2 linked regions of the Tamandua tetradactyla genome follow. The main gene of each other region encodes a partner of the protein of the gene in region 2 in a complex. Links are inferred from orthologs where the notes say so. Each region holds a gene or a part of one and is shown on either strand. Other genes may lie near its edges.

Region 1 (7,029 bases), on a different chromosome or scaffold from region 2:
GAGCAGTGAGTGTATCTAGAAATGAGAAGTGGTCCAAGATGTGGGGTGCTCCAGTGTCATGAGGATGAATCTGCAAAGAGTGAGAACAAGCCAGGTACGAGGAAAACTAGGAGCAGAATCTGAAAAGTTAAGAGAAAAAGTGTTTTAAAGAAGAAATGACAAATGGCATCCAATGCTGCTGACAGTTCAGAAAGAGGACTGAGACTCCATCACTGGCTTTAGCAAAGTGTAGGTCACAGGTAACCTTGACAAAGCAGTTTTAGTTAATTGGCAGGGGTGAAAAAGCTTACTGAAATAGATTTAAGAGAGTGGGATAAGAAAAACCTGAAGATAAGGAGACTAGACAACCATCTTGAGGATTTTTGCTGTAGTTGGGAAGGAGAGAACTGGGCAACAGTTGGCAAGAGGGGTCAAGAGAGTGTTTTAAGAGATGGAAGTAAGAACCATGTTTTCAAGCTAATAGTGAAGCAGGATAAAATAGGGCAACTGTAAGTCCCTGGTTTCCTATTCAGCTCTGAAAGAGTTAAGAGACAACCGCAAGTCCCTTGTTTCTTATCTAGCTCCAAAGGAATGAATACAAAGTTCCAAATTTTAGCTGCGAAGTTCCTGGGACAAAAATTTTCCTAAAGTCTCCAAACCTCCCCAAACCATAAAAGACTGCAAAATTCTGGGAATGATAGAAAGCACAGGGTCATAAAGATTGTTAACTATTTGCTCAAAGACAAATTTTAAGTATGTGACAGCAAACCAGGACCTAGCTATCTCCTCCTCTATCTCCTCCTAAAACTTCCTAAAAGAAAGAAAACACCTGACTGGCGCTCAAAGGCCACCAAAGGAATCTGCCTCAAGAAGACACCTGGTGCTCAAAGATTACTATGGAAAGCTGCTACCAACAAAGCTTTCCTATAAAACAAGCTAGCCCATTCCACTCAGTGCGTGTCCCTCCCTTGGGCACATCTGTGCTAACCTCTTTAATGCGTACTCGCTCTCTTTTTTTTTTTTCTTTTTCATGGGCAAGCACCAGGAATCGAACCCCGGTCTCTGGCATGGCAGGTGAGAATTCTGCCACTCTCTTCTTCTCTTTAATAAACTTTATACCTATACCTACTGGCCCTTTTGTCTCTAAATTCTTTTAATTTCAAGACTAACAAATTTGGATCGGGGCTCAGCTGGCCCCATTGCCAGCAGGGCAATGGTTACAATAGGAAAAAAATCTTGTGGAGAGAAAAAGACAAAATAGGTAAGAGGGGTGAATTATGGAGTAATATCCTTGCATGAGAGGGAATGAGATTTAGGACTCAGGGGAGTGTTTGGCTTCTGTTAGGAATACGGAGAGTATATTGTGAGAGGACCAAAGCCTAGATATATGGCACAGAGGCAAGTGAGTGGGAGGAAGTGAAGGTGGTGGCTTATGGAAGTTTTCTAATTGCTTCCATTTTCTCAGCAAAACAGGAAGTGAATTCATCAGCTGAGAGTGAGGACTGGGGAAGAGGTTGTTTAAGGAGAAGGTGGAAAAGAGTCACCCAGAGTGAACTGACTGGGGGAAATATGGTATGATTGTCAGGCAACCTCAAAGCCTCCCCTTGAAGATAATGATTATGAAATCAAAGATGCCACCGCCAAGGTTTTGGGCTGAAGTCTTTACATATTTGGTTCACATAACTAATTTCTCGTTTTGATTTCATGTTCATCAAATAAACTTCTGGCTATGATTGGGTTTCTCATATAAGTCTCCTTTCAGGAAGAGAATACTCTGGGCTTAAGAACTTGGGAAAATTCTAGTCTCTGCGAAAGGAATTTCTCCTAAATTAATATATTTGAGTTCTGGTTTTAAATACAGACAAAGAAGTTTAAAGTGTTGACAACCGGTTGAGGCAGGTGCACACTGGTCCTGATTCTGAGACTGAGAATTTTCACATCTCCTGAGATTTTTATGTCTGCTTCAAACAACTCCTTACACTGCTCTAGAGCAGAATATGATGGAATGAGCCCTGGACAGGACTGCGGGAAGCCCGGGTTCACTGACCAGCTCATGTACTTAACTTTCCCAGCCTATTTCTCCATCTATAAACAAAAGCAGCTGACAGTTCCTTCAAAGTCCCTTCCAAAGCTAAAATTCAATTTTAGGAACAATCTCCATCCACCCCCACCCCCAAAAGGGGAGGCATATTTGCACAGACCACCAGCAGCCTCGATGAGGGAAACAATACATCAGCAGAAGTTTAAAGTATAGGATGGAAAGAGAGGAGCCAGGAATAGCAAGCTCCACTTCAAAAATCCCCTATCTGCTCTGTTATGAGGGATGTCACTGGGGCCTAGTCTGAGCCTAGTGCGACCCAATTCCATCAATCTGTAACTGCACTGAGTTAAAACCGTGCCTCATATTCTTATTTTGGGGGACTCAAGCAGTACCCCGTCAGCATTTCAAGGTGTCCACATCCTTTACCTCAAACCACTGTTTAATTTTGCATCTCACAACCACCGAGAATTCGGGTTAGGGGGAGGTGAAGTTGGAAGCGCTGCCCTGTATGTTCCAGGTGACTTGGGGACCTGGGGGAGAGGAAGGCCCACGGCGGGGGCCCGCGGAGGGGGGTGAGTACTCACATCTTCCCATCAGAGCTTCCTCGCAGTCGAGGCCGAACATCTGCAACTCCTCCGCCAGGTTCTGGGCGGACACTGACATGGTGACCCAGGAGCTTGGCCGGCCAGCCGAGCCCACCCAGCTTCCACCTCCGAGCCCAAGCAACTCGCGGGCGTGGGAGACCGTCGAACCGGGTAAGGTGCCTCTTACCCTGTCGCCCTCCGGGGGATCGAAACGCAAGGTGACCAGAGGGCCCCAAACCTCAGGGAGGCAGGAGGCCCGAGCCGTCAGTCACAGGAAAGCACTTCTGAAGATGTGTGGGGAGCTTCCGAGCATCCCAAAGGGAGCGAGCAGTAAACGGGAAGAAGTTTGCTTTCCTGGGGAGCTCGTCTCGCTTCCTAAAAGATCCCACTGAACCCCCGAGGGACGCGGGCAGAAACGAACAGCCGGCAAAATCCCGCCAAATGGGTCGTGCGGCGTGCGCATGCGCGAAGTCGGGTTCAACCCCGCCCCTTCTCCTCCACTCACCCCCCCACCCCTCAAGGCCGGGCCGCCGCGCGCGCACGCGCGTTGGAGAGCGCGTGCGTACAAACGCCAACACGTCGGCTCGCGCGCCCCCGCGTGGCGGCCAACCAGCCCTACGGCGGCTGCGCAGTTTGTCTCTCTTCCGGCGCAAGAGCCGAGGTTCGAGGGGGCAACGCGCCGGGACCGCCAGCCCCGGGGCTGCGTTTTCGCGGCAGCCGCTGATGTTTTCCGGAACTTCTGCTCGGCCAAGGTCAGCACCCTTTTGACTTCTGCCTGGGTGCGCAGGCGCTGTGATGAACATGAGTTCCAGTGCGTTTCGGCCCCTGCAGTACATTTTTACCTCCTCTGCTCCCTTGTCACCTCTGTCCTCGTTGTGCCCTTGCTCTATCTTGAAAGGGTGGCTTCGGTGGGCAGTCTGGTTGCCATGGTTACCACCGTGGGCCTCTACCACAGCGGTCGTTCTGTTTTCTGGATCTGGGACGGTGACAGAAATTATTCCATTTGGGACACGTTGGGTTTGAGATGCCATTTGGGATTTCCAGTTGGAGGGTTCCAGCAGGGGGAGTGGAGCTGGGCATGCGGACCTGATAACTGTCCAAGGAAAACTTTACTGGGCAGTGTTCAACAGGCAAGGATGATTTATTTATGGTAGGGGAGAAGGAGAACTCAGCTCTGATGGGAAGCAGGCTTTGGTTAAGTTTTATAGTCAGGGTAAGGGTAATGGAAAAGTATCAGTCAGCCATCCCGTGGAAGAAGGTGGAGGAGGTAGGGGTGAGGTTGATAACTTGAAGTAGTTAGTATATGGAATTGTCCCCCACCCCCACCCCAGCTCCCCATTCCCTTTTTTTATTTCTGCAGTCCCTGTTAATTTTTTCTTTGTAGTCCCACAGCTGGAAAATTGGTTTCAAGGTAGTCATGGCTGGGGAGGGAACAGCATAACCATCCATTTCTAGCTTTTGCTAAGGGAGAGAACACGCTGAGAAGAGAACACCTCCCACCCGCACATTTTCCCCTAATTCTTTGAGCCAGAATCTCCATTCTCTCAGCTTAGATTAAATGAGTTTAGGTGGCATACTCTGGTGACAGGATGCCTGTCTGGTAGAGTCTTGAAAATCGTTTGGCAATACATATCAGGAGCCAAAAAAGTATCCATTCTTCTGGACTCAATAATACTTATCCTAAGGAAGCCATCCAAAATCCAGAGGAAGTTTTATGCCCAAAGATCTTCGTTATAGCCTTATTTACAACATCAAAAAAAAAATGGTGACAGTTTGACCATCCAACCTTAGGGAAGTGATAAGGGAGAGTAAGGGTCTCCCCAGAGCAGCAACTCTCAGACTCTGCACCAAGGAGGCCAAAGACTTCTAGAGGGCACCTTGGATGAGATGAAGTGCAGGGGCCGAGCAGGATGGGTGCAGCCCATCTTGGCCTCAGCCGGGCAGCACGGAGTGGGATATGGTCTACTTATTTACCAAATTCCGGGGAGGGATGAGAAGGCAAAACCGCCTTACTGTCCCCCGAGGCCTCTTGCTAGTGAGTAGCAAGGGTAGAGGATGGGAGAAGTCCATCTTGGTGCAGGCAGCAGGGGTTATTAATTTTCTGTTGCTATGTGATGAATTTTCACAATCTTAGCAACTTAAAACAACACCCATTTGTTAGCTCAGTTCTGCAGAAAAGCAGTCTGGGCATGCAGGACCCCAGTCTCACCAGGCTGAAATCAAGTTGTTGACTAGACTGCATTCATTTCTGGAATTTTGGGGGAAGAATCCACTTCCACGCTCTTCCAAGCTGTTACCTGAATACGTTTTCTGCCTCTATAGGGCCATTTTCTTGCTGACTGTCAGCTAGGGGTCACTCTCAGCTCCTAGAATCCACCCACACCTTTGGCCTCTTCCATCTTCAAGCCAGAGATGGCACGTGGAATACCCCTTGTGCTTTGAATCTCTTGTTCTCTCTTCTCCCACCAGCCAGAGGAACGTCTGGTTTTTAAAAGGCTCATGTTACTAGGTCAGGCCTACCCAGATAATTTTTTGTTTTGTTTTGTTTTGTTTTTTTCATGGGCAGGCATGGAAATTGAACCCGGGTCCTCTGGCATGGCAGGCGAGAACTCTGCCTGCTGAGCCACCGTGACCCACCCCATCTCCCTTTCTTAAGGTCAGCTAACTTGGAAGCTTAAGGACCCCTGCAAAATCCCTTCACTGCAGAAGCTAGATGAATGTGAAGGGGGCATTGGGCATTGGCTCAACATAAAAACTCACCAAGCCAGTAGAGCACAACAAAGAAAAATTTAAAAAGCAAAAGAAGAGGTTATTGAAACAGTGGCCAGATCTATTTTGAAATATTTAATGCCTTCAACACAGCTTATAGTTTCATTTCATGATGATTACTGAAAATAATTTTGTTGTAAAACAGAGGGAGAGTTAACAAGTAATGTGCTCTGGCTGTCAATTGTGCTAGGTATGATACTGCCCCTCCTTCCCTCTGTTCAATCCTTTTCTGAATTATTACAGGCATATCTCAGAGATATTGTGGGTTTTGTTCCAGATCACCAATAAAGCATATATTGCAATAAAGCGAGTCACAAATTTATTTTTTTATATTGGAGTCGTTGGAGGTTTACAGACCAGGCGTGCATAAAATGCAGGATTCCCATACACCACCCCACCACCACCACCTTGCATTGGTGGAGTCCCGAGAATTTGTTGGTTTTCGTGCATATAAAATTAGGTTTACATTATACTGTAATCTATTAAGTGTGAATAAATGAATGTCTAAAAAGCCAATGTAGATACCTTAATTTAAAAATACTTCATTGCCCAGGGATAAGCCTGGCCCTGGCTCTGTTGGATCAACAATGCCTTCCTGACCAAAAAGGGGAGAAGAAGTGTAACAAATAAGGTATCAGAGGCTGAGAGAGTTCAAATAGAGCCGAGAGTCTACTCTGGAGGTCACTCTTAAGTGCAATCTTCAGTTAAACATTGCTACCTATCATAACTTGGCACACCTCAACCAAAACCATTCTAGCCAATTCTAAAGAATACCTAGGGCAACATATAAGATTCTACAATGCTTCCATGCACTAGGGTAACTTTCCAGAAACCTACAAACTCAAAATAAGTTCTGAAACACAGAGGGGCCAGCCCTTCCAGAACATCAGCTAGTTCCATCCTCCTACCCCTTATTATTAACAACCCCTTCCAATATGAAAAAATTAAAATAGGCATAGCCCAAATACCCCTAAAGAGTGGAAGAGAGATCAAAGGTAATGGTGAAATTATACAGAGAAGGTAGGGTTTAACAAATGAATGTGATTGCTGAATCATTATATTGATTTTTTTTAGTCTCTAGTAGCGGAACTAGAAGTAAAAACCTGAAATTGTGGAGCAGTAACCCATACTAAACTCTGGAATCTGTTTTATAACTAATGGTTGTGGTGTGCTTTGAAATTGACAGCTTCTTTTTGTATATATGTTATTTTTCACAATTAAAAAATGCTTTCATTGCTAAAAAATGCCAACTATCATCTGAGCCTTCAGAGAGTCATCATTTCTTTGCTGGTAGAGGGTCTTGCCTCGAAATGGATGGCTGCTGACCAACCTGGGGAGTGGGTGCTGAAGATTGGGAGGGCTGTAGCAATTTCTTAAAAAAGACAGTGAAATTTGCCACATCAATCGACTTTTTCTTTCATGAAGGATTTCTCTGTAGTATGCGATGCTGTTTGATGGCATTTACCCGCAATAGAACTTCTTTCAAAATGGAAGTCAGTCTTCTCAAACCCTGCCACTGTTTTATCAACTAAGTTGATGTCCTATTCCAAATCCTTTGCTGTCATTTCACAGTGTTCATGGCATCTTTACCAGGGGTAGATTCCATCTAAAGAAACAACTTTCTTTGTTCCTCCGTAAGAAGCAACTCCTCATCCA
Region 2 (7,696 bases):
CCCTGCACTCTGCCCCTGCACTCTCCCCCTCCCCCCAAAAAGAAGCAAACAAAGAAAGGAAAAACAAACAAACAAAAATTCAACAAATGGTGCTGCAATAACAGGATACTAACATGGAAAAAGAATGAAATGTGACCCCCCCCCCCACCATGCAGCATACCAAAGAAAAAAAGAACATAGTACTGAGAAAATGTAGAAAAAAGAGCCATTAAATTCTGCATGAGAAATCAGGAAAGGTTTCACAGAGAGATTTCAAATATAGGCCTAGAAAGAAGAGTAGATCTCACCATTAGAGAACAGGGTAAAAAGTGGCACAAACAGAAGAAAAGGCATGACCCAAATTAGAGGTATAAAAATGCAGCATGTATTCAGAAACCAAGAGATAAAGTCAGTATTAACACCTTCAGGTAAGTTCAATGTGAGAGTGTAGAGTGAGTGGAAGAACCAGATTTAGAAAAGCAGCACATCCCAGCTCTGCCATTTACTGGGCTACATCAGACCACCAGTTAACCTCTCTGAGCCTTGATTTGTTTTGTTTTTAAGCTGCCCAGCTTCTGAAACTGGTTGTGAGATTCCCTCCTGACAAGTCTTGCTGGGAGAGAGAGCCCACATCCCACTACTTAAGCTGAAAAGGCCAGATGCCCTTTCCCAGATTCCCTAGCAGCTAGGGCAGAAGCATATAAACTAGGCTCTACTAGTTAGAAACACCTTCTCAGACTTTAAATTAGAAGCTAATGTCACAAGGAGGTGGAAGGGGGCCTTAAAGAAGATTATGAAAGTAGCAACAGTTAGAGGAGGATTGAGTGTCTGGAGCAACAACGCCCAATGCTGCAAGGTACAAGCTAAAGCATCAAGTAGCTGGCCATTTGAGAATTACCTCCTCATTGAACCAGTTTAGTAGCACAATTTTAAGCACTGTTCCTGGCTAAGCAACCCTCACACTGGCTCTCCTGTCCTCCTGGAGTTTCTGTGAAAACCCCAATAACATTCTAATAAATTATTTTTCTATTTAAATCAGTTAGAATTGGTTCCTATAGCTTACGCTAAGGATTCTGACTAATGCAGAGCCTCAGCGCCGTCATCTATGAAATGGGGATAATCATGTCTGCTTTGTAAAGTTGGTAAGGATTAAATGAAGATGCTTATCTTACTTTGTACCTAGCAATACAAGAGGAGTCCGTGTGTGTATAGAGATGCAGGGCAGTGACATATACATATATATGTACACACTCATTCCTGGCAGTACAATGCTCTAGCTTTTAGAAAACAGAAATAAAGCAAAACAACTTTCTCAGGGAAGTCTCAACATAGTACTGCAAATAATTAAATGTTTATCATCTCAACTGCACTAAGGACAGAAACCATGTCGAGTCTACCCACCGTTTAACAGAGCCTGGCAGAATGACTATGCCTAGTAGGTACATAATAAATATTTGCTGGATGAACAAATAAATGAACTATTACATCTGCGTTTTTGATCATTAAACTCTCCCTGGTCTCTTTTTATATATAATAGCAGCCAGCTATAGACCTTTCAACTTTTCACAGCATTGTCAAGGTACCCCATTCTAACACTTAAGAAAAAAAAGGCCTAGATTTTCCTTTTTGGGGTACGTTTCCGATGTTTCGTGTAGTTAGCAAAAATAATAATAAGCATGAAAAAACCCAAGAACAAAAGTTTATGTGATTCACAATTACCATTTATAATACCACCATCTGCCCCAAAAGCAGATAGACTCACCTCCAACAGTCTTTCAGCCAACAATCTTTCAGTTCAGTCTGCTCTAAAGGAAAGATTCCAGTCACAAGTGCCCAGCAACTACTTAATCAAATACCATGACTTAAAAGGGGTCTCAAGATTGCACAGTATCATCCAGAGTGATTTCTTGATGTTCAGGGATGACGTACAGTTTTTAGAAAGAAAGGCTTAGTGGCAAATCACTGATAGAGGGCTGCAAAGACACACTCACACCTTACATCCCATTTGTAATCCAGGCCAGTTAACGCTCCAGAATAAATTGTCTTAAAAAACGGAAGGCTAGAACAAATTGAAATGTGTGATTCACAACTAGGTGAATGCAAAAGGAAGCTGATTAGGGAGCAAGTTCTCATTAATGGTGATATATCTGAGTGGCAGGAGATATGAAGCTTGAGTAAGAAAGTGAAGCATTTGATTTTAAGTTAGGAGCTCAGCGAAGAAGTCACACTTTAGTTGAACACTGTTCAAAAATCAGAAATCAGACAAAGCCATTTACATTTTTTTATTCTATTTTTGGAAATAAAAAATCATTTGTAACTGAATGATACACAAGGCATCCAAAATGCTGCCCAACTGGTGCATTTTTTTTTTCAGAAACTTCACCCGAAATGACTAGATTGTGAACACTATTTCTATGCAGCACTTGAAAAACTTTGCACTGAAGCTGAAAGAAAAAACTGTTAATGCATAAAGTAGAAACCCATTACCTAAAAATACAAAATGCATTCGTATCTAGTGACAGCACTTAGAGCTTTCTTTCCTGTTAAGTTACAACACATAACAATTTTCCTCGCAGTTCTTAGAAAGGGGGGCGCACATCTATTCAATCCTAGCTCTTAAACGGATATTTGGCACCGAAGTAGTGAAACACTTTCAGCCAAGATAGTGCCCACACCAGTCTCAAAGATAGGCCCAACACGTGCGGTGCAAGTGACCAAAAGAAATAAAAATAAAGAAGGGCAAGTGCGGTGACCCTCAGTGACAGAGGTGAAGCAGCCTCCCAAACAGAAAAGACACGCAAGGTGTTGCACGGGTTTGCTAGAAGCAAATGGCCCTGGAAGAAAGCCCGGTCCTATACTGTAAGGTCTCCCGCCCAAGACGACGGTGGTCCACGCCACCCTGAGAAAAAAATTAGGGAGAACCCCCAAAATCTGCACCACCTGCACTCCTGCCGCAGTCCCCACACTCCCAACTAGACATCCCGCGCGCGAGGCCGTCCCTCACCGTTTGCCCCCGGCTCGCAGTCGTCGCCATGCACCGGCGCCATGGTTCCGAATCTCCCGATTCCGCGCCAACCAGCCCGAAACTGGCGCGGGGGCCGAAACAGGCGCCAGCCCGAAAGCCAATCAGCGGCTCCCGAGGCTGTGGACTTCCGCCCGGAAGGCCACTTACGTGCCGCCGCGCTGGGCCCCGCCCCTGGCCTTGCCGCGGGCTCGCGTTTGGCGCCCTGTGATGACCCCTTAGGGAAGGTTAGAGCTGAGCCGGGGCCGCTGGAGAGGAGGAGAAAGAAGCGGCCGGGCGCTGGAAAGGAGCCCTCTGGAGACTCGCTGCGCAGGCGCACGCATGCTGAAGGAAAAGACTTGGGCGCGTGGGAATAGAGGCTCCCTGGTTCTGAGAGTTGATTTTCTGGGAAAAGAGGCGCGGGCGGGCAGGATAGTGGGCGTGGTCGGACTGTATTTCCAGAAGCCTGGGAAAGCGACTGCCTCCTGCTGTGCGCTCTGAGTTTTGCTAGATACTTTGCCTCTCACATTGTTAAAGGTTGTTATGTGAATTTTTTTTTAATAAGCCACCACTTAAAGGTATATACACGACCCTAATCAAATGGCCAAAACAGCGTCACTAATAAGTAAGGGGCAATCTGACCTCATATGCCTCTGATACGATGCGCTTGAAAAAAAGAACATCACCTCTGTAATCTTGCAAAAAACGTTAAACCTGAATCTAACCGTGAGGAAACAATCAGACGTATCTAAAGTGTAGGACAACTTATAAAATATCTGTATTAAACTCTTCTAAAATGTTAACGTTACGAAAGACAAAAAAAGTGGTGAGGGGATCAGAGAGACAGAACAACTTGAGCCTTGATCAGAGCTTGCATATTAAAAACAAAGCTGTAAAGAATATTATTTGAGAACATTGGGGAATTTAATATAAGCTATTGTTAGAGCGGTGTTGAATTTCTTTGGGGTGATAAGTTTTGGTTGTGCAGGAGAATGTCCGTATTCTAAGGAGATGCTTAGGCGTGACATAATTGTCTAGCAAAGAGAGATAAAGCAAATGTGGCAAAACTTTTCTGTTCGTAAATAAAAAGTTAAAGGAAAAATGATACACAGAGTGTGTATTTTACTTCTTCGAGAGAAATTATCTTAATCACCCCAAAATGAACTCAGTTATGTTACTAAAGGCCGTGAATTCATTTACCCGATGTGCTCAATAACCAATTCCTGAGACACCGGGGTTTCAGAGAGAAAGAATTTTATTACTAGGTGCACAGTAAGAGAGCAGATGGCGTAGTGACTCAAAATCTGTCTCCTTGAACTGCAGCAATTCTGATAGTTTTATTATAGAAAAGATGGGTGAGGTTTAGGATAATGACCACAGTGGCCCCAGATGATATAATTAGAGGCAATCTAATTATTGAGCATGCACAGATTGATTACATGCTTAGTCACAGAACATGTGTAAGAAAATGGCAGAACGATGTATAGGTGACTTTTAGGTTAAAGTCTAAGCTACTGCACATGTCAACCCGATCCATTTTGCTTAGATCCAGTCTCGGTTCTCAAGATTACTTTGGACTTGGAGTGGGTTAGGTCTGGGCCTCAAGACCCTTCATTAATAAACATTAGGGGCTGTCTTTAGTAATGACAAGACTTCTAAAGTTAAAAACTGGATAACTCCGTATGAATGAAGGTTAGTCACAAGGTTTTTGCAATCACAGGGGCAGAAGATAAAGGCCATACGATCATTATCAGAGATCAAGGCAGCTGGGTTACAATTTAGAGATTTCAGTATTTTCCCTCTATCTTCTCCAATATACCAGAAAGCAAAAAGGACTGTCTATGTAATGATTCAGTAATCAAAATCATCCTTTAAATCCTGATTTCTAAATTATGCTTAGATAGTTCAATTTGAAGCAGGGGAGCAGTGCTGGCAGAAGAGAGTGGCTTTTGCGCTTTCACCCCCACCCCCATTCCACCCCAGCACATGCAAAGCCTCACACCTCTCTCAACCTGGCATATTCTAGGCCTCCTCCAAGTTTTAACCACCCCAAGGTTAAGCCTGCCACAATCCCCTAGGTTCTGGTCTAGATTATCTTCACAGCTATTAAAATGAGCAATTTTATTACCATTGGCCTTTTGGTGTTCTTATAAATATCCAGTCTGGTTGTCTTGGTTTCGTAGGGCTATTGTAACAAAGTACCATAGACTAGTTGGCTTAAAGAACAGAAATGTATTGTTTCTGTAAATTCTGTAAGCCAGTAGTCTGAGTCATGGTGTCGGCAGAGGCACGCTTCTTCTGTAGGGTTCTGACAGTGATAAGGAATCCATGAAGTTCCTTCGCTGGTAGCATAATTCAATCTCTCTCTCTGCCTCTGCCTCTCTATGTCCAGACTTCCTCTCCTTATAAGGGCACCAATCATATCAGAAAGTCCTGATTGGCCCATCTTAACTAATAATATCTTCAAAACTCTTACTTATAAATAAGTTCACAATCATAGAACCAGGGGTTAGGATGCAAACATATCTTTTGGGAGTGACACAATTCCATCCATTGTACTCTGCCCTCTGGACCCTAAAAAACCATGTCCTTCCCACATACAAACACATTCACCCCATCCCAAGATCCCAAAAGTCTTAAGCCATTTCAGTAACAATTCTAAATCCAAAGTCTCATCAAAATCAGCTAGATGGGTGTGGTCCATCCCGTGGCAAAATTCCTCTTAGTCTGTGGATTTGTGAAACCTAGAAAACAAGTTTCCAAAATACAATAGTGGGACAGGCATAGGGTAGATATTCCCATTATGGAAGGGAAAAATTGGAAGTAAAAAAGGATTCATGGGTCCCAAGCAAATCTGAACCCCAGCAGGGCAAATTCTATTAGATTCCAAGTTCTGAAAGTCATCTGTGGATTGATGCTATGTCTTTGAACCTGGTGGGATTCCATTACCTAGTAGCTTCCCAGGCCTATTAAATCAGACTTTCTGAGGATGGGACTCCAATGTACACCAAGGGTGAGACCAAGTGGTCTAGATGAGGTACTGCTGAACTTTTTCTATTTCTTTTTATTTATTTTCTTTAACTTTTTTCACCGATCTTTTGTAGTTTTTTAACACATCTATCTTGTACATATTTTGTTAACTTTATCCCTAAGAATGTCATGTTTTTAATGCTATTATAAATTCGTCTTGCTTTTTAAATTTCGATTTCCAATTGTTTGTGGCTAGTTAAGATTTTGATGCCACCCCAACACACATGACCCTCTTCTCCCTAATCCTAGCTAGAGCAGTTACACTACTGTGGTACAGAATTTTTTCTTTCTTTGGCATTTCTGCCAAGTTACCATTTATGCAGAACACTTCCACTGAGCCACCCTACATTTTGTTCTTCTTTGGAGACCAGTGTGAAGAGAAGCAAAGCCATTTCCAAATCTTGGTTTTGATTCCAGGTCAAGCAAGAAGTTTCCTAACTACTTAGATTTGTTTCAAGATATTTAATTTCATTTTCCTGAATCAAAAGTTTGGAAATGTTGTATGTTGCTCTTTTCCTCATATTTTCCTCGTATTTTCACAGGAGGTTCAACTGTGTTTCTCTTATAATCACAAATTGCATTGTCTATGGTCAAGGACATTTAGAGGTGGAAAAGTTCTTAAAAATCCTTGAACTTGTTGTCTCTCCAGCAAAATAACTTCTTCAGTGAGTTGTTGATTATATACCAAGAATGGAATGATCATATGGTAAGATTTTCATGTTTGTTTGTTGTTATGTTTTAAAAAAATTTTAATTATAAAATAATAATAATAATAATAAATTCTTCAGAGTCACAGTTGAAAATTAAGATTCCCTTTTACCTTGGTAAGTGAGAAAATGGTGAAAGGGTAAGGGAAAAAGAGAAAAATACAAGGAACTGGGTTCTAGGGTTAAGCACAAAAATGTTGTATCATGAAAGGCCTGCTGGCAGACAGCAAAAAGCCTGGGAAGTATATAGAGGTAATTACTAAACATATCATGTTCAGTTTCTTGCCAAGACAGTTCTACACCAGGCTGAAAGTTTTTCTGTTAGTGAGAAAAATGTCTGCAACCACCCCCCAGCAATCCATTAAAATAATTGTTATGAGGAAGTGAAACAATTTCCAAGTTACTTGTCTTGTCACTCTAGCATCTTTGAGAAGTTTTATTAATGGCCTAATGGATCAACAAACTTTGAAGACATTTCTGTGCTTGGATCTAAGTTGTTTTACCAAGTTACTGCAAAATAAAACTAATGTAGTAGTTTGAAGTTATATGAACCCCAGAAAAAAACATGTTTTTAAATCTAATCCACTTCTGTGGGTGTAATCCTACTGTAAGCAGTATATTTTTTTTTTTTTTTTTTTTAAAGGAAAGACAGAGAGAAGGAAGGAAGGATAGAAGGAAGGAAGGAAGGAAGAAAGGGAAACATCTTTAAACATTTTCTTGTTTCATATGTTGATCACTTCCTGGAAGATGGCGGCTTAGTAAGACGCGCGGATCTTAGTTTCTTCTCCAGGACACCTACTAGGGGAGTAGAAACGATACAGAAAGCGCCCAAAGCCACAACAGAGATAAAAAAGACAGCGTACCCCATCCTGGAACGGCTGGCTGGCTGAGAGAAGCAGCTCGGGTGAGATCGCCGAGGCGCGCGGGCCTTACCGGGCGGGGTGGCAAGCGGCCGGAGTTACTCCCTTCCCCCTTCCCG

Evidence for each region.
Region 1: the proteins of POLA1 (region 2) and POLA2 are in contact, whole or in part, in a cryo-EM structure (PDB 8G99), measured with the Xenopus laevis proteins. The link is inferred for Tamandua tetradactyla from reciprocal best matches to the Homo sapiens genes POLA1 and POLA2. Residues at the interface, in NP_001082055.1 of Xenopus laevis: Gln548, Lys551, His553, Gln554, Asn555, Phe642, Glu645, Val646, Gln649, Asn652, Leu673, Gly675, Arg676, Phe679, Lys1137, Asp1141, Pro1143, Asp1144, Ile1321, Gln1322, His1324, Asn1325, Lys1326, Leu1328, Leu1329, Arg1332, Ile1335, Lys1336, Tyr1338, Tyr1339; in XP_018112289.1 of Xenopus laevis: Met280, Tyr281, Lys282, Phe283, Met284, Phe285, Gln286, Lys287, Leu288, Met289, Ile291, Arg292, Val295, Ser296, Ile299, Glu314, Thr316, Leu320, Pro321, Gln323, Glu324, Thr325, Val326, Gln331, Gly333, Cys334, Asp335, Ser336, Asn337, Gly338.

What each region holds. Positions count from the first base shown.
Region 1 is NC_135335.1:9,279,073-9,286,101, forward strand, and holds the start of POLA2 (DNA polymerase alpha subunit B), read right to left. Parts: upstream 3,082-7,029; 5' UTR 2,684-3,081; coding exon 2,605-2,683; intron 1-2,604. UniProt on the Homo sapiens protein: Accessory subunit of the DNA polymerase alpha complex (also known as the alpha DNA polymerase-primase complex) which plays an essential role in the initiation of DNA synthesis.
Region 2 is NC_135353.1:149,485,111-149,492,806, forward strand, and holds the start of POLA1 (DNA polymerase alpha catalytic subunit), read right to left. Parts: upstream 3,084-7,696; 5' UTR 3,027-3,083; coding exon 2,984-3,026; intron 1-2,983. UniProt on the Homo sapiens protein: Catalytic subunit of the DNA polymerase alpha complex (also known as the alpha DNA polymerase-primase complex) which plays an essential role in the initiation of DNA synthesis.